Linked DNA regions of Drosophila melanogaster. The protein of the gene in region 4 interacts with the protein of the main gene of each other region in a pairwise test. Each region holds a gene or a part of one and is shown on either strand. Other genes may lie near its edges. The genes, in order: l(2)05714, TfIIEalpha, CG40045 and CG15293.

Region 1 (5,099 bases), 9.1 Mb from region 4:
TGTTATTATTCACTATTAAAACTATAGTGGCAGTTTAAACTTGGCTATTAAACTATATTTTCCCTGATTTTGGCTAGGCCAACGGCGCTCTTCCTCTTCCTGTTTGGAAAAAACAGCTGTTCGTATGTGAATGGCTGGCAGCCAGGGTTGCCAGGTTTGAAAAGTATTTCGGAGACAGAGCTTCGTTCAATTTAGTTTTGTGAAATTTAGAAATGCTCGGCAAAAAATTGAGTTTCGAAGTAGTTCAACTTATTTATTATAATCAATATATGAAACAGTGCGCCAAGCCATACTCCGGCATAAGTACCATTCACGAGTAGCAAGAAATAAATTTATGCTGTCGGCAATTAAAATCGAAAAGCGGCTTACTTTCGCTATCAGAATGTAACATGTAAGTTACTAATGTATTAACAATTAAATATCCTTGAAAGAAACGCGATTTATTTTGACTACGTATAAAGCTTTTAGCAAATGCAATTAATTTTTTGGAAATTCTCACGCGGTTAGCCCAGCCTTGTTCAACCTGGCCTTAATCGTGTTTATCTTGAGCGGCAACAGCTGGAGCATTTCACGCACAACACCAATCTCGCCCTGCAGCGTCTCGGCCGCCTCCTTGTGCAGCTGGCAACCAGCATCGAATCTCTGGTAGTAGGTGTGGCAACTAGTTAGGTGCTCCAGCTGCTGGAGCGGATGGCCACTGATCAGCTTGTAGTAGATGCGACCGATGTGGAAGTGGGCGTAGAGCATGTGGCGTTGCTCCTCCACGTCCATGTTGGGTCGCCATTCCTCGCTGGGCGGTTTGACCAGATAGGATTTGACATAGCTCTCAAAGTGCTTGATGGCCTTCATACAGCTCTGATTGACCTTCTTGATGTCCTCCGGCGCTGGCGTGCTAGTGGCCCGAATGATGTCGAGACGGACATCCATCACGGCAGCATGAGCTGTGCCGGCTCCATACCAGCATTCTCGGCATATCTTCATGTAAAAGATGGGGTCAAGCAGATCCAAAAGATCTTCCAGATACTTGGCGCGACGCTTTTGCATCTTGGCCTGGTTTTCTGGATTCTCCTCGAAGAAGGCAATGTGCTCATACGCTTCGGCGTAATCCTGCATTATCTTTGAATACTCAGTAGCTTCGTTCTCGGCCTTGTAATAGTCCTTGGCTATGTCGAGCCACTCGTTCACAAAATGAAACACCAACTTGGCATCGTCGAAGGTCAGGCAGTATTCACAACTAATACGATTTTCACACGCGGTGAGGTCAAGTCCAGGAAACCGGGACTGTTCCGCCTCGACCAGCCGCATATTGCGCAGAACGATCTCCAGGTTCTTGGCATCCTCGTCATCTTCGTCCCGCATCAGCCGAAGCTTGGATGTGTTCATTAAATACAATCCATATTTGGCCCAACAGCGTGCCACATCGGCGTAGCGATGTTTAAAGGTCTCCGACACGTCCTGGCGCTGCTTCTCGCTCATCTCCGGCTCCAGCATGTGCACCTCATATTCGGCCATGATGAGCGTAGCAGCGGCCAGGTGATGACGGGCCTCCTCGAAGCGCTTCTCTCCAATATAGAACTGTGACAAGGTGGCGGTGTTCAGTGCGAAATCAATGGGATCGTATGTTTTTGACTCAAGCTGTCGATGGAGGGTGCGATGGCAGCACTTGGCCGACTTTTCCGGCTCACCCAAATGCCCGTACATTTGCGCCATGTAAAATGAGACTAGCGTGTACAGGGATTCCAGTTCCTTGGGACCAGCTTCGTGAGATTGTTGTCCCTCCTCCGGAGGATTGAACACATCTTGAATGGCCAGGGGCTTCAGACCACTGGCTTTGAAGTCCTCGTAGATTTTTTCTGCCTCCAGGAGAATTTCCAGTCCCTTATTGTACTCTTCCTTGGAGGCCAGCACAATGCTAAGCTCGTTGATTGCCCCAATGAATGGAATGATGCCCTCAGGGCACTCCTTAAACGGCGTGACTAGTTCCAGACAACGATTGAGCATCTTTTCGCCCTCTGCCTGCTCCTCTGTGTAGATGTAGATCCTGCCTAGATCCCGGCAAACGAAGGCCAACAGAGAGTGATAGCAGCGATCGTCCTGACCACCGTCCTCCTCGCTGGCCTGCACAGATACCAGTTGGTCGTCCAGCTGCTTCTTCAAGACAATTAGCACATCGCGCGCTTTATAATGGGAGCGGAATGGATCCGTGGGCGGATCATTGCGGCTCTCCTCCTCCACCAGACGGTTGGCCTTCTCGTATAGCTCCTTGAAGTCGCTTAGGATCTCCTTTGGAATGACCATGTTGGCTGAGCACCCACGGTGCAGGCAAAAGCTATCCTGAATTCGGCAAAGCCTTTTTATTTACTATATTTTTTCTCTATGAGTGTGTAGTGTGGCCGTATTGTGACTGCTTAAACTTTACCTGAGACCCAAACCATGAAAGAATATTTTATTTAAAATCTCAAACTAAATTAATTTGAACTATGTACAAGTAAGGTATTTTCAAAAAGTACATAACACAACCATAAACGCCTCTAATATAAACTTGAAGGCATAAAATGTTTATATAAACAAAACAGCTTAGTGTGACCGTTGCGCAGCAACCTCTATGTCGCAACCCTGGAATTAATTGCTGGTATTATAACGTATTCGATTACAGTCACACCGCATCGACTTTCAGATTTTTTTCGCGTCGCAAATTTTTGGAATATACCAAAATATTTACCACCATCAGCTATTAAAGACTGCTTTTGGCGCTCATCTTTCAAAGAATACTTTTCCACAAATCAGACAAGCTTCATCCGAAAGCGGGCACAATGCTGAAGGGTTACAAGACGGATGAGGACAAGAAGGTGAAGCGACTGTACCACCAACGCTATCGCACAGAGTGGGAGAAATATCCGGAGCTCTCCAGCTGGCTGGCGTCTAGTAATGACGGTTACTCGGCGCACTGCAAGATCTGCGACATCAATGTCCTCGCCAGACTAGCGTCCATCAAGCAGCACCTCGCAACGCGGAAACACCAGGAAAGTTTCAAGTACCACAACATTCTTGCCAAGGTGGGATTGGGTTTGTGCATAAGCAATAGGAATGACCCGTGTCCATTATTGATTCAAATATTTTGCGATCCAAACTAAATTTCAAACACGATTTTTGTGTGAGTTTTCGCCATACTTTTCGTTAACTATTCCATTGACTACTTCTTGTGCAATGGTTAACCAAACCAGTAGCTCCCTCTATGCGATGCACAACTTATCGCTCCAAAAAAAAAATTCTCATCTCATTACTAATTTACATAAAATTAACAACTCCGTATTTATACCTACAGAATATGATTAAGGGTGAACTTGTCAAAGATGAGCATGACCCAGACTTGGAGGCCTCCATAATTTCACCCAAAGCAAAGCCCAAAGCCAAATCAAAGACCTATCCAAGGCAAAAGCCAAGGAGCAAAATGCAGCCAAAGATCAAGAACGACACGAAGGTGGAGAGCATGGAGGAGGAGACGGAGGAGGACGAAATCGCCTCGAACGACTCAATCCTGGATGATTTACTCAGAACAGATCAGCCCTATCAAGAGCAAGAATTTGAGGTTGAGAACGAGTTCCTCGAAGTACAACAGAATGAAACAGATCTCCAGGACCAAGAGGTGGTCTACGAGGAAGAGATGATACAGCTCAAGCCGGAAGATACGGAGATTAATAACGAATACCAAGTCGACGCGATGACGGAAGACACCATTATTAGTGAATTTGACTTGTTTGGCAAGAGTTTGGCTCTGCAGCTGAACAACATGGACCTGGAGGACGCACTAATGTGCCAGGAGCGTCTGCAGGTGGTCCTAACGGAATTTCGCCTGAAGGTGCTCAAGCGCAAGAGAGAGCAAGCACGATCTTCGTAGGCTTACAATTTATATCAAGCTGTCTTATGTACATAATATAATTTCTTTAACAACTAAATAAATAACTATTCTGCCTCAATTTCGTCAATTAGCGCCCGGCACTTTCTCTTCAATACCTTGACCGCCTCCAGGAAGATGACATCGGGCTTCAGTGCGCCGACTGATTCCACGGAGAAAATGTAGTGATCTCGGATACGGGCCAAAGTCACAGCGTCGTTTAGCTGGGGATAGCGATACACATTTCGGCTGCACGTGTCGTAGCGTGCATCCTTTACATAGGCAGTTTCATTCTCGTCAATGCCAATTACTCCTGGTGAGAAACAGTTCTGTAATAGGTACGCATCCTTACCGGTCACCTCGCGGTTCAGCTTAATCATGGGCAGCAGTCGGTAGGTGGCCGTGGCCACCGGCGAGAATTTCGCGTGATCCCGTCCAAGTCCCTTAACCGCCACCAGGCGCAGATCCAACTCGTGACCCGGACGCAATTGGGCAATCAGTATGTCATCGTGAATGCAGTTCACAGCACTCTCGCTGTATATCTGCGCCTGCTTTCCTTTGGGCAGCCACTTCAGATGACCCGAGTACACTTTGTGGTTTTTGTAAATGTCATCGAAGTTGGACTGATCTTTTCCAGCATCCCGTCGCCGCGAGCACTTCACCTTCAGCTCAAATTCAAGCGTATCCTGCTCGGTCCCCGCCTCAGTGCTTTCCTCGGTGCGGTATGCGAATAGACGGGGATCAGCCCGCAACGGAAGTAGACCCATTCGATGGGCAAGTACCTCGTCCTGGATGATCGAGGTGTTGTTGTATATGTACACCTTTTCGATGGCCATGCTGGGCACATCGCTGAGCATCAGGCGACGGAAGGCATTTGCAATGGCGGGATACACGCCAATCAGATCGAACTCCAGGCCGTCTTCGTCGTTTCTAGAAGTGAACACCAATTGTTAATCGACTCGTAAGATTCTAATTTCTATTGAGATTTACCTGACGATTTTGATGTGCAGCTTTTCCTTGAAAGCCTGAACGGAAAATACATCGTCCGCCAGTCCATAGTCCTGCGGATCCTGCTTCACCCGATACTCCTCCATGTACAGAAGCGGCTCCTTGCGATTTTTGCTTGCCATTTGCCCCGGTGTTTTTATTAAATAATTTAACAAAATTGAACCGCACGTGTTGGAATCAATAAGACCGCCTTCTA
Region 2 (5,202 bases), on a different chromosome or scaffold from region 4:
TTTACCAATTTTCCTTTGTGTTTTTTATCGTGGCTCTTCCTTTTGCGTTCCGTATTCGCAGCGGAAAACACACAAAAACACCGAAAGAAAACACACACGCGAACGGAAAAACGAAAGCCGCAAGAAAGTCCGCCGTCTCGCAGACAGCGAAGGAAACTGCAGTAAAACGTTGGGAAAGCAGAAACACAAGTTTTTATTTGCACGCTTTTGTCGCCTGTAATTGTTGTGGCCGCCGTTGGAAAATTGTCGAGCGGAAAAGCGTGGAAAACGAGCGTTAGCGCGCACGACTCAAAATTCAAACTGCAGGCGGATGCCAACAGCGAAAGTGGAAAAGCCTTTTTCTGTTTTCCCCGCAACGAACGAGAGAGAGAGCGAGAGCCTGCGCACTGCCCGCTGCTCTCTCCCTCGCGCGCGGAAAAGAGCTTTTCCCATGGACGTAGTGCTGTAGGGTATCTATTGCTTCCTTTTCGGAAAAGCGTCTAAGCACTTTCGGCCTACTCCCCTGTCTGTGTCCACTTTTCTCGCTGAGTCTGCGCCCTGCCCTCCGCTGCAAGGTAAACAAGTTCAGGAGGAGTTTCCGCGGAGTAGTTTCCCACCCTTTGAGCGACTGGGCTTTTCCGAGCCATTCAGGCAACTCTGCAGGCTGGACGCCCGTGGGTGTTCACGTGCTGCAGTTGGCACTGTAAACATTTTAAAAGTTAAATATTCATTAATAGCAATATATTTTTATTTAATATTTCAATTTGTACAGAAACTAAATTACAGCATACATATTAGGATAAACCATCTTGCAAATAACTGAAGATTTGTTACAGTAAAGATTAAGATACCACATTCAAACGCGTTTCAATTTTCATTCATAACAACAAATATTTATATATGTATTTCAAGAAAAACCTTTATAAAAATTTTAAGTTAGAAAAGCGACAAAAAGTCAACTTATTGCAGAAGAAGTGAAACAATAAAGGCTAAATTTTGAGTTTTATATTTAGTTTTAATACTTTAAATGCTAATTTGATCATTAGTCAATGAAAGAATCTTTTTGATAGGATTTCCAGTTAAACACGAGTTTTTTTTTTGCAAAAATAATTTCTTTGGAAACTGATTCGTCGTGTTCCATAAATTTGCCTATTTTCTGTCTGTTGAATTGGCATTTGTAAACATGGAGCAGCTGATTCGGACTTCGCATTGTGCGTCCAATTATATCCATGACATTCATCGAGGACAACAGAAGTGTGTTGGCTGCCAAATAAACACGCAAGGAGACGTCTGCGCCCCCGACCTCTGATCCCGTGGAAAGTCCACCCCCGCGGCGGCTGCTTGGCTTCTGCTTGGCTTCTGCTCCTGTAGCCATGGTATTTTTTATGTGGGCGAGCCTCGTTCCGGGGGATTACACCGGAATGCACTCGAACGCAAGGCGAAGTTCGCATTAAAAAATAGACGACCCTAGACAGCGGAGCATGAAATATTAAGCACTTCGAGCGGATAAACAAAGGCGGCGAGAGGACGACTTGTTGGATTATTTTCACTCATTTCTGCGGTCAAAAACATTCAAAGCAAACAGCGCTCAGATGCGAAGTTGTTAGTAAAGCCATTGCACAAACATGTAAATGTAGTGCGTTCAAATCTGGCAAATTCCGTAGTAGTAAAAAGTTGTTAAAAGGTTATTTGGTTTCTAAAAAAATTGTTAAATGTATAAACACATTTCTACAAAATGCTTTCGAGTTAACAACAACATTATTGGTTTAAAGTAAATATAGCTAAATTATTTTCGTATTATTAAATTCTTCGCTAAATTAATGTCTCTAATAAAATGTTTTTCAACGCTACGTTTTTGAAATGAGTTTTTCAAAAGTTTGGTGTGGCAATGCCCTAAATTGTGCGGGCTAAAAATCGGTTTGAAGCGTAGCTACCCTTCTATCCAAGTGTTTCACCTAAAGGCGAGGCTTATTTAGGGGTTTTCGCGTTGCTTCGAGGACTTTCGAAGGAATTTCTTTGGCCACATTGCTGCACAAAGAAGAATTTGGCGGTGGAAATTTTATTTTTGCCGTGGAAAATCATACGAAATACGGGCAAACAGCGAGCAGATGACTGCCGGTAGACCCATGAAGATCCACGGACCCACTGCCTGCATTGAATAACCGCAAAGTGCTCTGCTTCCGGAGTTCCGGTTTCGAGAGTCTGGTAAGTGGCGTGAGGAGAGCACTCGCAACAAAAGGAAAAAATCAGTTTATATATATCTTAATAATGCCGATCCTCCAGATAAACACACAATGTCGTCGACATCGACGGCTGCAGCGAACGCAGCGCCAGCGAAGACGGAGGTGCGGTACGTGACCGAGGTGCCCAGCAGTCTGAAGCAACTGGCGCGCCTCGTGGTCCGTGGATTCTATTCCCTGGAGGATGCGCTTATCATCGACATGCTGGTGCGGAATCCCTGCATGAAGGAGGACGACATCGGCGAGCTGTTGCGCTTCGAGAAGAAGCAGTTAAGGGCCCGGATAACCACGCTGCGCACCGACAAGTTCATCCAGATCAGGCTTAAAATGGAAACGGGGCCGGATGGTAAGGCGCAGAAGGTCAATTACTACTTCATCAACTACAAGACCTTCGTGAACGTGGTGAAGTACAAGCTGGATCTCATGCGCAAGCGTATGGAGACGGAGGAGCGTGATGCCACCAGTAGAGCAAGTTTTAAGTGCTCTTCGTGTTCCAAAACATTCACGGACCTCGAAGCGGACCAGCTGTTCGACATGGCCACGCTGGAGTTCCGGTGCACCTTCTGCGGCAGTTCCGTGGAGGAGGACAGCGCCGCCATGCCCAAGAAAGACTCCCGCCTAATGCTAGCGCACTTCAACGAGCAGCTGCAGCCACTGTACGACCTGCTCCGTGAGGTGGAGGGCATCAAGCTGGCGCCAGAGGTGCTCGAACCGGAGCCCGTGGACATCGACACCATTCGAGGACTGAACAAACCCAACGCCACGCGACCGGACGGCATGGCGTGGTCGGGTGAGGCGACGAGAAACCAGGGCTTTGCCGTGGAGGAAACTCGTGTGGACGTCACCATTGGCGGCGACGACACCTCGGATGCGGTGATTGAGCGCAAGTCGCGCCCCATTTGGATGACAGAGAGCACTGTGATAACCGACACGGATGCTGCCGATGGCGCGGCCGATGCGGTGCAGACGGCAAGCGGATCTGGGCATCGCAACCGAAAGGAAAACGAGGACATCATGTCCGTGCTGCTGCAGCATGAGAAGCAGCCGGGCCAGAAGGAGCCGCATATGAAGGGTATGCGAGTGGGCTCATCGAACGCCAACTCTAGCGATTCCAGCGACGACGAAAAGGACATCGAAAATTCCAAGATTCGTAAGAAGCACCAACCATTTCTCGATCTCATCTTTTATGGGTTCTAATATACGTTTTTGTACTTGCAGCTGATGTCGACTTCGACAATTATATCAACTCAGATTCCGCGGAGGAGGACGACGATGTGCCCACTGTGCTAGTGGCTGGACGACCGCATCCGCTCGACCAACTGGACGACAACCTGATAGCCCAGATGACGCCGCAGGAGAAGGAGAACTACATACACGTATACCAGCAGCACTACAGCCATATATTCGAATGAGGGCGTCTGCAATTAGCCACGATTTCTACGTTTTCCACGAGTTTCCCATCTCACGCATAGAGTCATTGTAATTTAAGTTACCCACTAGTTCGAGCGAATGTGTACAAATGAAATGCGTATAAAAATGTGCATAAACAAAGACCGAGTTTGATACTGGGAAATATTTTGAGCAAAAAATTGTGTATTATAATTTATAGAAGCTATTGGACGTTTTCAATAATCTTCTAAATAGACAAATATTTTAAAATACATTAAAGCTCGTTATTTTCGCTTGTAAGCAAGTGCCATCTCTAGCTGGACCAACTCCCATCCCTAGTCGGTCCAATCAGCTGTGTTTGCCATTATTGTTTTTTTTTTTTCTTAGGTTTATTTAAGTGTTGCTAATAAAAAACCGAGCGGCCGGGCGCCTCTTCTTGTTCGTCGGTGGGCGTATTCAGTTTATAATAATTGGTGTGCCGCAGATAAGGCGGATTCGTAAACAAACGACGGCAAACACAACCAAACATGTTGACACTCGGCTCGTAACGCCAGCGGCTCCATTCAGTCGTGTTTTGGATGTCCATCTAGCCGGAGCCCTCGATTTCCGCGGACTGTGCGTGGTGCGGCACTCAATTCGTGCTAAAAGTGCGACAAGTTCCCTTGCACTTCGAATAGCCAACGAGCAAAAGTGTTGATTCTTTGAAAGGAAAACGGATTAAACCAACTCAGCGGATTCCAATTGGAGCAGAAACGTGATCCCGCGTGCAAAAACACACATGCAAAATAAATAACAACACCTGCTGGCTGTGTGAGTGTGCAGGCACATGCTCTTTCTGCTTGCCCTCGCATTTTTTGTGAATGAACTGAAAAACGCGCTAGTTTAGCACCGATAGTATTGATCTTTGTGCCGCGGGTCAACGTAATTACGCCGAAATGAAGGCCACCATCGATAAGGAGCTGCTGCCCATGAAGGCGCACTACTTTCTCTTCAACGCCGGCAAGTACCCCTTCCCCATACCTAGCAAAACCATTAAGTTAAGCACCGCGCATCGCTTACATCAGCCGATAATGTTTTCTCGTTTTCAGAGGCACGCACGTGCTGCATATATGTATATATATGTATATGAGTGTGTGTACGTACATCCATATGTACATACATTTAGCTGTTAATTGCGAACTTTTGATCTGTAGCTTCGATTTCGTCACAGGGCACTTATGCATTAATGAACATATAGAGCACCATGTTCGAAGATAAGGCAATCACCCGCAATAGAGAACATAGAGCAATGAAAGTCCAGTTAAATAGCGATAAGCTAATGCAGGCAGATTCGGGTTACGATTCGATTCCCATCGTATGATGCAGCACTTTGCTGGCTTTTAATTACAATCGGAGCAATTCCATTACGTTTATGTCGTGTAATCGAAACTTAATTAGCTGTAACCCTTATAACTTTGAGCTGTTACAAAAAATTCAATTGTCTTGTATCTACTGATATGTTAGTGTATTTTACAACCATTTAATATCCATATTTTATTAAAAGTACGCCCATATACACATACATACTAAAACAGCAACAATTTACAATTTTCAT
Region 3 (9,359 bases), on a different chromosome or scaffold from region 4:
TTGGAATGGAAGTGTGAGAGAGCGGGAAAAATATAACCGAGTAATTTAAGTCGAACTTAAGCTGCTTAAATGAATAAGACTATGCGCAATCACAACATAAGGCCACCCGTATTCATAAGACGTGAGAAATATCGTTAATAAGCAGACCGAATAATAATGGACAAAAAGCATGCCTGAAAATAACCGAGACTTCACAGTCAGTCACCCTATTTCCAAATATGTTATATTTGAATACGGTTCGTTAAGTAGGATTGAATTCATATTAGCGGGCAGAAGGAAATCAGAGATGTACCTTGGTGAACAGTAGGTTATAATTAACCGATTGAAAAACATTCCTGAAGACGGTCCTGACAGGCGGCCTTGGCCAACAAAGGTGGTGAACTCATGATCGTCTTTTAGTAAGTACACGTTTAAAGGAAGGTACTTAGTTTAGCTATAAAATGATAATAGGTAATATCCGAGTTGCTTTATTTTTTATGCAGTGAAATTATAAAAGGTTCCATCCTCTATGGTCTTTTGAAATGGAAATGGAATGGACCAGCTTAAGTGCTTGGAGGGACCAGAATAACGCAGTAGTATACTCTATATTGGAGCTACGATTTTAAATGGAGTAAGCAGTTTTCACCAATTTGGTGAGCATCGATTGCTCGAAAAATCTTGTAGCATACGGAGCTGTGCAGTAAATAATTGCATTTTTCATTACTGTATTTGGAGAAATCACATTATCCAGCTGACCATGGAGGCGTATTGTAGGATTAAAGCAAAGACACTACAATAACAAGATGCGTAACGCCATACGATTTTTTGGCACACGATTTTTTCGCCGTGGCTCTAGAGGTGGCTCCAGGCTCTCTCGAATTTTTGGTAGAGAGCGAGAGAGCGGAGAGCGCTACAGCGAACAGGTCTTTTCAGCGCATAAAGTGATAGCAGACAACTGTATGTGTGCACACGTATGCTCATGCATTTTAATTTGACAAAATATGCCCTTCACCTTAGAAGTTCTTTGACTTTAAATCTATATTATTTTTGATCAATTGGCACCATTCGAAAAATTCTTGTTTTGCATTGCCTTAACGTTATTATTGTTTTTTGAAAATAGATTAGAAAAAGCCAAATCTATGTACATATTATCACAAAATAAATTTAAAAATTGACTTTATATAAGAATATTTGTCATTAGAGTATTCATCTTGCGGCGTGTGAAAAATTAATAAGGCAATGCTTGTTGATAAGATATGACCAAAGCAAAGACACTAGAATAATTCTAGTGTCTTTGATATGACTTTTGCAATAAACAGTTATCATATTCTTATGAAATTTATGAAATTACAGTAGTTATAATAATTTCTATTGTACTTCCTTTAATTATTTAGTATATTTATTAAGTCATTTAACATTAAAAGTATTTCAAAAGAAATATTTCGCATTTAAGTCACACAAGCAAGCAAATTCTATTTTTAGATTTCTTACGTTCTCAGCGTAAGCGAGCAGAAAGAGAGCAATTTTGGCCGTCACTAAAAAAGTGGCTGCATAGTGCCAAACCAATGTATGGCCGTTACGCATCTTGTTATTCTAGTGTCTTTGATTAAACATTAGCTACTGGGCATACGAGCCCCAACCACTATTAATCTGAACAGTAGGCGAATTTTTTCAATACTACTATAGCAGTTTGTTCAGCAGTTTGATCTAGTTTCAACAACAAAAATATGAGTTATTTACTCAAAAGGTAGACTTAAGAGATAAGAAAAAATAACCACTATTAATTCAAACGCTGCGTAATATAACAAATTTATTAATATTAGAATTGTATAACGTCGCCACACGTTTTGGCGTTGATTTTAAAAAGTTTTGGCAATGTCCTCGAGAAATCGAGTCTCACATCGCTTACAACTTCATTTAAAGACCGAAATGTTCCTTTGTGGCTCATTTCAAAGATCTCTTTTTATTAGCCACCAAAATTGTTTATGGGACTTAGATCTGGACTATTTGATGGCCAATCTAAAGCGTAACTTTTGTATATACAGCTGCGTTTAAAATAATAGCACTACTGCAGGTGGAAAGTTGATTTCGTAAAAAAAAATTATTAAATGTTTATTTTTTTTAAAGTCAGATTGCATGAATAATAAGTACCATATGTTGCATCTCTAAGCAAGAAATTTTTACTCTTTCAATGTAACGGTTCTTTTTTGTTTTTGGGCACTTGCTGCAAAAGTGCCCAAAATGAGGCGGTAACAAAAATAGCACTGACCACGTATTTGCTGAATAAAATTAATAGGGGTGATTACTTTGGTTTTTTTTCGACAAATTTTGAAAAACGGAGTTGCACTAAAGGTTTTAATTGAATTTTTTCCAAACGAAGACCAAAAATTCTCTAGTCATGGGTCGCGGAAAGCATTGTACCGTCGAAAAAAGAAATTTGATTAAAAACATGATCTCTGAAGGTAAAACCTACTCTGAAATTGGTCGCATTGTCGGTTGCTGAAACAAAATGATCCGCAAAGCACTGCTGTTTGTCGAAAAGAACGAAACATGGAAGAAGGAGCTTCAGATAGCTAAAAGCGTGGAAACTGTTCGCAAACGCTTAGGACAAAGCAACCTTAATGCGTGCAGCCCCAGAAAAGTCCCGCTTTTGACTGTTAAGCATGTCGCAAAGCGAATCGAATATGACAAGATTTCCAAGGACTGGCCTGTGGAGAAGTGGCACAACATTTTGTGGTCAGATGAGAGCAAAATTGTGTTGCTTGGTGGGAAAGGCTCTCGGTCTTATGTTCGGCGTCCACCGCCGTTGGTTTGGACATTTCAACAGGATAACGACCCAAAACAGACGAGCAAGAAAGCTCGAAAGAGCAGAAATCGATAAGAGTAATGAAATGGCCTGCTCAGTCACTTGAATCCAATCGAAAACCTTTGGGCGAACGTGAAAAAAAGGTTTCTGAAGTCAAACCCAATAATAACGAGGAACTTTGGGGTGTGGTCAAGGATTCAGGGAGCAAAATTCCTCAATAACGGTGCCAGGACTTGGTGGACTCCATGCCAAGACATTGGGCGGCTGTCATTGGCACCAAAGGTCACGCAACCAAATATTAAGATTCTTTAAACATAGTTCTTAAGATATAATCCATTTGTTGAATTATTTTTTCATTTTTTTGGTTAGCTTTAGCAAACTACGAGAAACAGTGCTATTTTTGTTACCGCCTAAATATGAAGGTTTTTTCGTTTTACCACTTATTTTTAAAATATCCATTAGATCTGTTACTAATTTCGTTATTTCGATTGAAAATCATTGTAGTATTTAAGTTTAGTGAGTAAAATAATGAAAAAGTGTCAGAAAATACAGAAACGATGGGACAAACACGAAATGTGCTTATGGTGCTATTATTGTTACCGCAAATGTACATCTAATATTACATGTACATACATATGATATCGAGAAGCCTTTCAGGGAATTCTTACAAAGGCATTTCAGGGAATGAATAAAGAAGCATTCCCTGAATGCCTTCATGTCGTAGTACTTCTCGAATTATGCTCGTATGCACATAAAACATTGAAATTTCATCATTGGTTTAAATGTAGTGATGGACAAACTCCTACAGAAAAAGACACGGCTGTAGAATCGAAAAATCTCGCGATCTTTACTCACCCCGAACCCAACAAAAAATTGTTGTTTGTAATAACACTTATGAACTGAAGACATTAGAATAACAAATTGCGTAACGTCATACGATTTTTTTCGCACACGACTTTTTGATGTTGTCTCTGAAGCTGGCTCCAGCTTTCTCAAATTTTTGATCTGTGATCTCAGAACTATAAGTTAAGCTTGTTTAAGATGGTTGCTACGCTTTTGTGAGTGGAAATCAATGTTTTCTGATTCTACATCTGCATGCCCAATCTCAACTCTCTTATGTCTAAACCATTATTTAAAATGAGTCTATGAGTCTTGTACATTTCTATCGATTTGAAAAAAAATGTTTGTGCCCCCACTCTTACGCACTAAAACCGCCCAAACCTGCCTCGATCACATTGTTGAAAATGTTTTGGATATTTTTCATATTTTTATAAGACTTGTAAATTTTTATCAATTTATCAAAACTTTTTGGCACGCCTAATCTAACGCCCTAAAGCCGTCAAACCGGTCACGCCCACCCTTTTGAACAACTTTATAATTTGTTTTCTCATTTTATTCCTCAATATCTATCGATATCTCAGAAAAAATTATGAAATTTCGCGTTCGCTTTCACTCTAGCTGAATAACGGGTATCTGATAGTCGGGGAACTCGATTAGAGCATTCTCTTTTGTTTTTGTTGGTGTCAATGGGACAGCCACAACAGAATTTCATTGCTTCATGTATGTCTAGTTTTCGCTTTGACGTACATTGATTGGAATAGCGTCTACAGTGATTGTTGCATAAATATGATTTTTTAAACGAAAAAGAATACAATGTTCATAGCATACTACAGTGTATCTGGCGGTCCAATTATTAAAACTTCCCAGCGAAATATATCATTCTCATCAATTAAACCAGCGGAGAATCCTTCCACTGGATTCTTGTTTAGTTCTGAAAAGATAAAAATAATTATTAATTTTTAGTAATCACGTGTAACAATCTGGTTCCGTAGGTTGTATTTTTTTAAATACGTTCGGCGAGGACCTATTTTATTTTGGATTATGACTATACCACTTAGACGTTGAAAAGAAGGATATGTCAAATTTGTTAAACTGTATATAACAGTAGAAGGTACCGTTTCTGATCGTAAAAAGTATATATGTATGTATATTCAGGATAATTTGTCATGAGCTAGAAAATTAAATTTAACATGCATATTCCTTTTGGTTTTTGCCACTGGTTTTTGCGTAATCTAATGCCCACAAGCCGTAATAAACTGTCACGCCCACCATCGAAAAATGGTTTGGTTTCCCAGTCGAAATTTAAATTATTCTATAATTCTGTAAAATTAGCATGTTTCACAAGTAAGAATTTTTCAGTTTTCTGATGGTCGACTAAAAGAATTGGACTGTCAAATTATTTGAAAACAAGAATATTATATCTATATTCTCTATATTCTATTAAAATTCTTTTGGCAAATCGATAAAAATTGACATGAAAAATGGGAAAATATATAAATGAGAACATATTTTTTAAAAAAGTTTGGCGTGGTTGGGCGATTACAGTCGACGTGCCGAAACTTCAATAGAAATTACAACCCACAATAAACTGAACAAAAAGTAAACAACAAATTTAAAGATTCGGCGATGTACAGTAAAGTTTTATGTCCAGTCTCTTACAGGTTGAATCCACTTATGGATTTAAATATACGTGTGTGCGTAATGCACGCTCTCTTAGGGTTGTTGTTTCAACTGCACATATGAATTTAAGATAATATGAAAAGTTTGAAACAGGTGAAAAAGAGTAAATCTGACTCTAAAACGTAAATATTTCTAGATCATGATCACTATTCGAGTCGATCTAGCGATATCTGTCTATCCGTCCTTATGATTGTCGAGATCTTGATGGAAAATTATAGAAAGATAAAATAAAGCATGTAGATGCTAGTGACTCCCTCTAGCGATCACAAACAAATTAACAAATTAATAATTTTTATTATAGAATAAAAACATATGTATAAACATATACATACATATGTATATAAAAAATCACATATACATACATAAATACATTTTTTAGTTAGTAGTATGAGTCAAACGAATTTAAAAAGCTCATTCCATTGTTGACATGTTCGATTAAATAACAAAGTATATGGTTTCATTTGTTTTAAAATACTGTTGCCCCTGTAGCAAAATGCTATTCGCGATTAATGGCTGAAAATAAGAAATGGGCTAAGCATTGTAAAGGTTGTAATGAACATTGTTTAACCCTACAAATAACATAAATGCTTTATTAGGTTACCTTGAACATCAATTAACCATAACTTTGTAGAGTGTTAACAAAAATATGATAATAATATATCTATCATTCGGCCAAGTCTTTAAGTGTTGTTGAATGTCTAAATCATTAGAAAACAATTTCTTTCCAAAAATTTTAATTTAAGGCAGTGAAGGGAACACTACCAAAATTTGTATATACATACACACATATGTGTAGATGTAAGCATTTATTAGAGTTAGAAAGTAATATATATTATGTGTACCTTCATACACATATATAAATTTATCTTTTCGGCATATTAAGCAAACTCCTGCTCAAATTTTATCATTAATTTGAGTACATAATAATATATACCACGAGATTTTTAAAAAGAAGGGTAGACACAAATATTTACACATATATGTATTGGCGCATATACACATTTATTATCCTATGTAAGAGTATACTATTAACTTTACAAAAAAGAACAAGAATTTATTAAAATTACCTTAAGATATAGGTAATATTTAAGCTACAAATTACATATGTGCACTCATATTACACATAATATATGTATTTGGTTGAGCATTGCCAGCTTATGGTTTTTGCACCAATTTTAAAACCACATGTGCAAGACTGGAAAAATAATTTCATATACATATGTAAAAACATTTATATATACATTCTTGCTCATTTATATACGTTTGAAGTTGTTAAACTTACCTGCCAATTGTTTTTTTAACAGTAAAGATGACTGAAGTTCAGACATTCTAAGTTGTATGATAAATGAATTGGTTCAGTTTAACGCACAAGTAATTAACACAAATAAAAATTGTATGCTTAAAAATAAGTTAGTATTGAAAGTAAATATAATGATCGACATCGACCACCGAATTTTCTATAAAGGCCAAACATAAAAAAGAACTAGTTATACAAGTTTAACACAGATCTAGCTCCTGTGAAGACGAATGTGACACAATAACACTTGTTTCCAACTACACTTATATTACATTTACACTACGTTTGACTGCTTCTGGTTGGCTAACAGGTACCGGGGATATATATATACAAATCCTATACTTACAAAAAAAATATAAGGGGCAATCCCAAAATGAAGAAAAACGGTTAATATCATCACATATTGCCAGCAGAGTTTGCCGTATGGCTGGTACTAAGCCCGGTTTAATGTATGCCAATAGACTTTGCGGTTAAATTTGTAAAAAGTTCTGTAGATATCATCCTTACCTTAACCTTTCTGTATTCTTTTGTTTATTTAAAAATATATGTTATCAAAATTTATGAGGATTAAAATTTATAAATACCAACACAAGTTCAAAATAGAATAGAATAGACAACATGCTTGCTCTTGATAACAAACCACTGTAATTGGATTGGAAATAAACAAGTTTATTGAATGAACAACATATTATTAATTTGCTTATAATTTTCTTATTTATGGTATTGAAGCTATGATTAATAACAACATAAATAAATTATTGCAGAGCTTTTGTGAGCCGATTACAGTTACAGCAGTTGCCCACATATACGATACCGACCAAAAAACATTGAAATGCAAGAATATTTTTTAACCCTATCCCTAACAAACGTATAAAATGCTTTAAAAATCGCGAAACGCATATTCAGTGTAAGAACCAATTGTTTTCCATATGAGTTTTTAAATAGATTGGCTGGGTTCCACTGTGGTTCTCGTCAATATTTTAAGTCCCACTTATTTTTCTACGCACTCTTCTATCGGTTTGCGGGCCGATATCAATTTTGATCTAAGAAACAAATTTACAGATTTCGAGTTTTGGCCAATGTCGTTGCAATATGACAGGATGAAATATTATTAAAAAATATATGCCGTAACTATAATTATTTTAACGAAGATTTTTTATACTCTATTGTTAAATTCTCCGCTCGAATATATTGCCGATTTATATCTATATTTACTTTAATTATGAATAATGTGTAAATATGTTATTAACGACAAACTTCAACAGGGGAATGTTAGCAGTTATTATTTATGTAGGCGATCTTACAGCATTAAAACTAATTTCATCATTATTTTAACTTTTTTTTTTTTTTTTTTTTTTTTTTTTACTTTGCTTTTATTTATTGAATCTTCTTGTATAAGAACTAACAATAAGTTTAAAAATCTTAACTATAACAAGTATTTTTTGAACAGTTGTATTATTTTTCCAACTGTTCTATGTTTAAACGGCCCTAATAATTTATTCGCTGGGTTGGTAGGTCCTTTCGCCGGAGACGGGAACGGCTGCTGAGCTGGATTAGACCTCGCGCTAGGTGGTTGGGGTGCGTGTGAAGCTTGCTATGGTATTTTTCCTTAAGTTCCGTGATTGCGTTGGTAACTGATGGGATATTTAAGTCTCTTTGGATGTTTTCACTCCGAACGTACCACGGTGCCCCAGTGATGGTTCTCAGAATCTTTGATTGTGCTCGCTGAATGATGTCAATATTGCTGTTGCTGGCATTGCCCCATAACTGTGAGCCATAGGTCCAGATTGGTTTCAATATAGAATTGTAGAGCAAGACCTTGTGATCTAGGCTGAGCGGAGAACCAGAGTTGATGAGCCAGTGTAAGTTGTTGGCTTTGAGTTTAAGTTGGGTTTTTTTGGCTTCAATGTGCCTGCGCCATGTGAGTCTTCTGTCTAGGTGTACTCCTAGGTACGTTACCTCGTCTGCTTTCGGGAGTGGTATGCTGTTCAACAAGAGCGGAGGACAGTCTTGTCTGTTTAGCGTAAACGTCACGTGCTTGCATTTTTGCTCGTTTACTTTTATTCGCCAGTCAGAGAGCCACTTCTCAATGTCGATGAGGTACAGTGCCAACTGTGCTGTAGCTTGGATAGGGGACCTTGAACGGCTAAGGATAGCTGTATCGTCGGCAAATGTGGATACCGTTAAGCGACTATTTGTAGGGATGTCGGCTGTATAGATGAGGTATAAGGTTGGCCCAAGAACGCTGCCTTGGGGGACTCCAGCCTCAATTGTATGAACAGTGGAAGTGGCAGTGTTGCACCGCACTGCAAACTTTCTGTCATAGAGGTAAGACTTTAGAAGTTTGTGTGTGCTTTCGGGTAGGGATATTTTAATTTTAAACATTAGGCCGTCGAGCCAGACTTTGTCGAATGCTTGGGATACGTCTAAAAATACTGCTGTACAGTATTCGCGATATTCAAATGCAGTTCTTATTTCCGTTGTAATACGATTCACCTGTTCAATGGTTCCGTGGCTTTCGCGAAATCCAAATTGGTGGGCTGGGATTATATTGTGGTATATCAGATGTTGATTAAGTCGGATCAGCAGGCATTTTTCGAATAGTTTCGAAATGCATGAGAGTAGACTTATTGGTCTGTAAGATGAAGCGACTGTGTGGTTCTTACCAGGCTTTGGAATCATTATGATCTTCATCATCTTCCATCGTTGTGGAAAGTAACCAAGTTTGGTGATGGCATTAAAGAGCTTGGTTATGTA
Region 4 (4,839 bases):
ATTTTAACGGCTATTTGGAACTTCACTTGATAGAAAGTTTTGATTTTCGCAGTATTTTGCTGCTGATTACACTAGGAAACAGTAATATATAATATTGATATTTTTTCTATGTTTTATGTTTTCATCTTTCCTTTTAGCTATAAAATAATATGTGTAATCAGTAAGGCCATTCACGGAAGTGAACTGTTTGGAATCAAAAAAACCAAACTAGTTGAATCATTGCTCACCGCTATCAATAGCTTGGGATTACACTTGCAATAAAGAAATTCAAAGCTCTGTAACTAAAATTTTATTGGCGGTGATGAGCAATTTGCATTCCCGGGTATACCCAACATGTTTTATTGTGAATTTTTAGATTATGAATACTCATTAAATGTCAATTTAAGGCGCACTCTCAAGCTTAAAAACCCGCAGTACTGAACTATTCCTAATGGCTGAGTAGAAACATATAGTTGGATGATGAGTTTTTAAGGCTGAGAGCGGAGTGACTTGTTTTTCAAGTGAAAAGCACAATTTAGACTGCAAAAACCGGTCTTTTCCGCTGGCAAATGGCAGACAACAATTCTCAGTTCTCATACGTGATAAGCTTACATTATTTATGAATAATTTTTTTATTTTAATACGAGCGAAGTTTTGAGTTTTGTAAATTTATTAATATGTATCCGCATTTAAAGGGAAAAAAGCTTAAAGTTCCTTTCAAGATGGCTTCATTCTCTGCGTAAACAGCTGTATACGTGACTCTAAGAATAAATCTAAATATATACTATATATATATATATACATACAGCGCGATTAGTATCGATCGTCAATTGTGCGCTATGCGGAATCAAGTTCAGTTTCAACTAGGTACTCGAAGCGGTCGCATGTTCCGGTTTAAAACAAAGAATGAATTTCGAAAGTCATCTGATTGTTTGCATTAGTTTGCTTCTTCAATTACGGGTAACTAACTTAATATCCCAAACATACAAAAAATATTACTATTTTTCCCATTTGCAGATGGGAGCAACTATGCCTATGGAACGGCCACTCCCCCCCTCTGTGTATGCACAGGCTAGGCATTGGAACGTGCTTGAAACAGTCGTAAATAATATGCGGATCACTAAAAGGCCGTGGATAGTTACAAAAACTAAACCGTGCGGTGAGGTGATTAGGGAAACCTACATGTTGAGCCCCAACGAAGAGGAACTCATAAGGAGAACGGAAGTCATGCTCTTGCAAGCTCAAGGAAAATTGGAATGTTTACTTAGCCAGTTTCAACCGACATTACGACTTGGCAGTGTCTACAATAATCCCTTTCTAAACCCGGTCGGTTTTGGTTTTCCTGACTATAACGTCTTCCAAAATTTTCCGTTTATCCCGGAATTTAAGCCGCAACGTATTCCTCCCGAAGAAGATCGCAGTAATGAAAATAATCCTCGCCGAGAAGATCCGCGGGTAAATGAGCAGGATGCGTGGAATTTACGCCCTCAAGACGTCCCCAAAGAAAATGAACACATTCCCAATAGTGAATCGGATAGTGATAGATGGCTGCCAAATCCAACATCCACACACCGGCCTATCGTAACTTTGCCTACCCTGGCACCCCCAAACTTGAAGGATACGGAGCCCATATGGGTTCCAGTCCCAGAACCAACATCAACCGAGCGAAGTTCGGTCCCGCTGCCCACGCTCGCACCCAAAGGCGACGGAACTGACTCGACAATCGATGACTTTTTGGCAAAGGTGGATCTCACTGTCGCGGACATCAAAGAGGAGGATGGCCAGGTGGTCACCACAATCGTGGACAAACAAGGACGCGTTCTAAGTGCCAGTTTTGCACTGAGCAATGAGAACGAACAAGGGGGTGCGGCAAACTATCAAAGTCGCACTGGAAAATGATATACATAAATAAAGAGATATGTGAACAAGAAAAGCTCAATTTAAATTAACAGAAAAGTTTAGTATAAATAATATAAATAAATCTATGTTTACCGCATTGAACCTTCTTGTAGTGGCAATATAAGTATTGAAAACTTATATAGTAGTTTCTTGTTCATTACAGTATGATTCAACTTCTAAACGCAATTTAACAAAGTGAATTTCCAGGATCCAGAAGCAATTTGTTATAAGAAACTTATGAAGAAACTACAATATGTTTTTATGAAAGCTTTGGGAAACGCATTCTGTTAACACTCTTTGATAATGGCGACTTTGCGAAAACTGTTGATAACCTTTGAGTAGACACTGCGAATAGAAGCGACGAGGTCAGTCGATTAGAATTCTAAAATCAGTTCGATTCTGTCGATCGAAGTATTCACAAGTGTCGCGGAAAGATCGAATATGCAGTACTCCTATCTACTGGCAATCTGTGTCAGCTTGCTGCTTCTGAAGCTGAAGGTAGGTCATGGAAATCTCCAGAAATCTGAAACTGACGTCATCTTTCGCTCACAGGGAGCAGCTGCCACTTCTTTATCCGCCGAACCGACTCCGGAACTTTTGAATGCGGCCAAGCAAATAGGTTTAGATGAAGTTGGCTTGCGAGAAATGTGGCACAGCCAGCAGCCGCTGGTTATCAGAACTCAAAACGATGCTGGTCAAGTCACCACTTTGACCTATGAGTTAGGTCCGGATTTCAGATCGATTTTAAGACGCAAGGTCTCAGAGGGAATACTGCCTGCTAGGCTAGAGGATAATTCAGGCTCTAAGCCCCAGCAAGATTGGGAGTATGTGCCGAGTGCCGGTCGTCAGTTCCGTCCCATTGGAGATTCCAACTTCGGTACAGGTAATTTCGAGACAAAGATATTTAGCACTGAATTTCCGAGATTTCCGAATTGGGAGCTGCCAGCGGGAGTTACTCCGAAAGTTACAACCAAGACGGAAACGGATAGCTCGGGACGCAAGGTGACCACCACAACTAGAACTTATAGCGGCATTCTGGTCCCAGGCAGTAATGTATTCAAGCAGATATTCCCCGACATCTCCAGAGAGCCTGGTCCAATTAACACAGACTCAAACCATCCAGCCGAGAATCCTAACACCTCAGTCTTTTCCCCATCTCGTTCCCCATCTACTGGACCTATTGATTTCAACTATGTATATAATTCCCGACCAAGCCAAAGGGAACCCGTCTTTGTGCCAGTGATTGACTCAACCACCACGCAGCGGACTTCAGTTCCCCGGTTCAGTTCAGCATTACCAAGAGACGACGGATCAGATCGAGTCATAGATGATTATTTGAAACAAGTGAATCTGAGTGCCTCAGAAATTGAGAATTCGAATGGTGAAGTGGTCAAGACTATTGTGGATAAGAATGGCAGAATTCTAACTGCCAGATTTGTTCTAAGCTCAGTCAAAGGAACCAACGAAGGATCTCAGCAGCAGAGGCCGACCAAGTAAATAGCTCATTATAAATATTAATATATGGAAATCATCGCAATATTTTGTAAACAATGCTTAGCGCAGTTTAATAAATAAGCTTATCAGCCTGGGCTAAACCCAGAAATTGTAATAAAATTTCTAAATCAATCTATCACTGAAATATAACCTTTATATATGTAGGTGGGAATTTGATAAGGGTGTCTGATTTGATACATAACTTTCAGTTTAATCGAAATGGAATGGAAAATATTGTACAAACTTACCTGCTTATATATATATATATATATATTGGCAAATTTAAATATACATATGTTAGCAACTACAAAGCGCTCTAAATTATTCAAAAACTACTCGCATACATGTGTACATTTTGGGAAATTAATAATTCTTTATTTTCAGATCGTTGGCCAAATTAATTAAAAAGCATTAATAGTTTTGTATAGCTAATTTATTACAAACATTTTTTTTGTTTTCGCTAACAACTGAGCTGTAAAAAATAAAAGAAAGGAAAAATATAATTGGGATAATAAAAAAATCAACGAAATAATATAAAATAATAACATTTGGAAACTAAGCATGATAAACAAAACATTTCAGCAAGGGAAAAAAATACTTGCAGTCAAAAATAATTCAAGCATTAGGAGATCAAAATTATAAATATATAAAAAACGCAGCGCGGAACGAGAAATTCAATTGGAATTTCACGGCAAACTGATTAAAGCACGTCGAAAAAAACTATTGCATAATTTTGTGCGCAGCTCAGTGCAAAACGCATTTGGTGGCCGAAAGCAATGTGTTGGTCATGGGTGATTCGGTTGCAGTTCTTTGTAGTTGTGTGGCTGACAGCCTGGTGGTAGTTGTTCGGCTGACAAAAGTGCATTTCTGTCATTGTCTTTCTCGCTCGTTAGCATTGCATTAGTTGGGTTACATTTATAAGCCAAGCATGTCAGAGAAAAAAGAAACTAGATTAGTAAAAAAATGTTGTTTTATCGAGTGGAAATGGTGTGGAAATCGTGGTAAAAGCATTTTTTCTTAAGTCTAAATATGCGGGTTAAAGCCAAAAAAGCAAATAATAGTTGCGCATTGGCCTTTAGGCGTAAAACATATGTAAAATTCAACTACGCATAAAATATGTTACAAAAAGCATTAATATTTGAACAATTTCGGTGAGTCCTTTGTATGATTCTTTTACAGAATAAATATGTAGGTGTATAAATTTGTAAATTTTTTTTTATGAGATATTGTAATAAAGGTTTCACATCGCCAGCGGCTTTCAAATTTAATATAATACGTTCAATATAAAATATATATGACTGGGAATAAGAATTACCCAATGATTGACAACGTTTTTTTTTTTCTTTTGTGTTTCCATCAATAATGTATGTAAGTTTCAAAGTAATTTGGTAAAAAAATAAACGTATTGCTCAATAAAACTGTGATTGCTCATTTGAGATCGGATGTTTCCATTCAACTAACCGTAGT

Evidence for each region.
Region 1: the proteins of CG15293 (region 4) and l(2)05714 interact in a two-hybrid assay, tested with the Drosophila melanogaster proteins (one large-scale study listed by BioGRID).
Region 2: the proteins of CG15293 (region 4) and TfIIEalpha interact in a two-hybrid assay, tested with the Drosophila melanogaster proteins (one large-scale study listed by BioGRID).
Region 3: the proteins of CG15293 (region 4) and CG40045 interact in a two-hybrid assay, tested with the Drosophila melanogaster proteins (one large-scale study listed by BioGRID).

What each region holds. Positions count from the first base shown.
Region 1 is NT_033779.5:4,969,011-4,974,109, reverse strand, and holds l(2)05714 (lethal (2) 05714), read left to right. Parts: upstream 1-2,624; 5' UTR 2,625-2,813; coding exon 2,814-3,056; intron 3,057-3,325; coding exon 3,326-3,898; 3' UTR 3,899-3,963; downstream 3,964-5,099. Other genes in the region: CG14043 (uncharacterized protein), read right to left, coding at 496-2,298; Polr1C (RNA polymerase I and III subunit C), read right to left, coding at 3,964-4,825, 4,886-5,025.
Region 2 is NT_037436.4:11,680,039-11,685,240, forward strand, and holds TfIIEalpha (transcription factor IIEalpha), read left to right. Parts: upstream 1-1,999; 5' UTR 2,000-2,184; intron 2,185-2,262; 5' UTR 2,263-2,273; coding exon 2,274-3,369; intron 3,370-3,437; coding exon 3,438-3,631; 3' UTR 3,632-3,767; downstream 3,768-5,202. Other genes in the region: Sugb (sugar baby), read left to right, coding at 4,544-4,607.
Region 3 is NT_037436.4:24,025,952-24,035,310, reverse strand, and holds the start of CG40045 (uncharacterized protein), read right to left. Parts: upstream 6,797-9,359; 5' UTR 6,634-6,796; coding exon 6,588-6,633; intron 6,501-6,587; exon of another isoform or gene 6,373-6,500; intron 4,557-6,372; coding exon 4,454-4,556; intron 434-4,453; exon of another isoform or gene 334-433; coding exon of another isoform or gene 293-333; intron 1-292.
Region 4 is NT_033779.5:14,106,732-14,111,570, reverse strand, and holds CG15293 (uncharacterized protein), read left to right. Parts: upstream 1-2,123; 5' UTR 2,124-2,319; coding exon 2,320-2,376; intron 2,377-2,430; coding exon 2,431-3,375; 3' UTR 3,376-3,514; downstream 3,515-4,839. Other genes in the region: CG31769 (uncharacterized protein), read left to right, coding at 886-939, 997-1,878.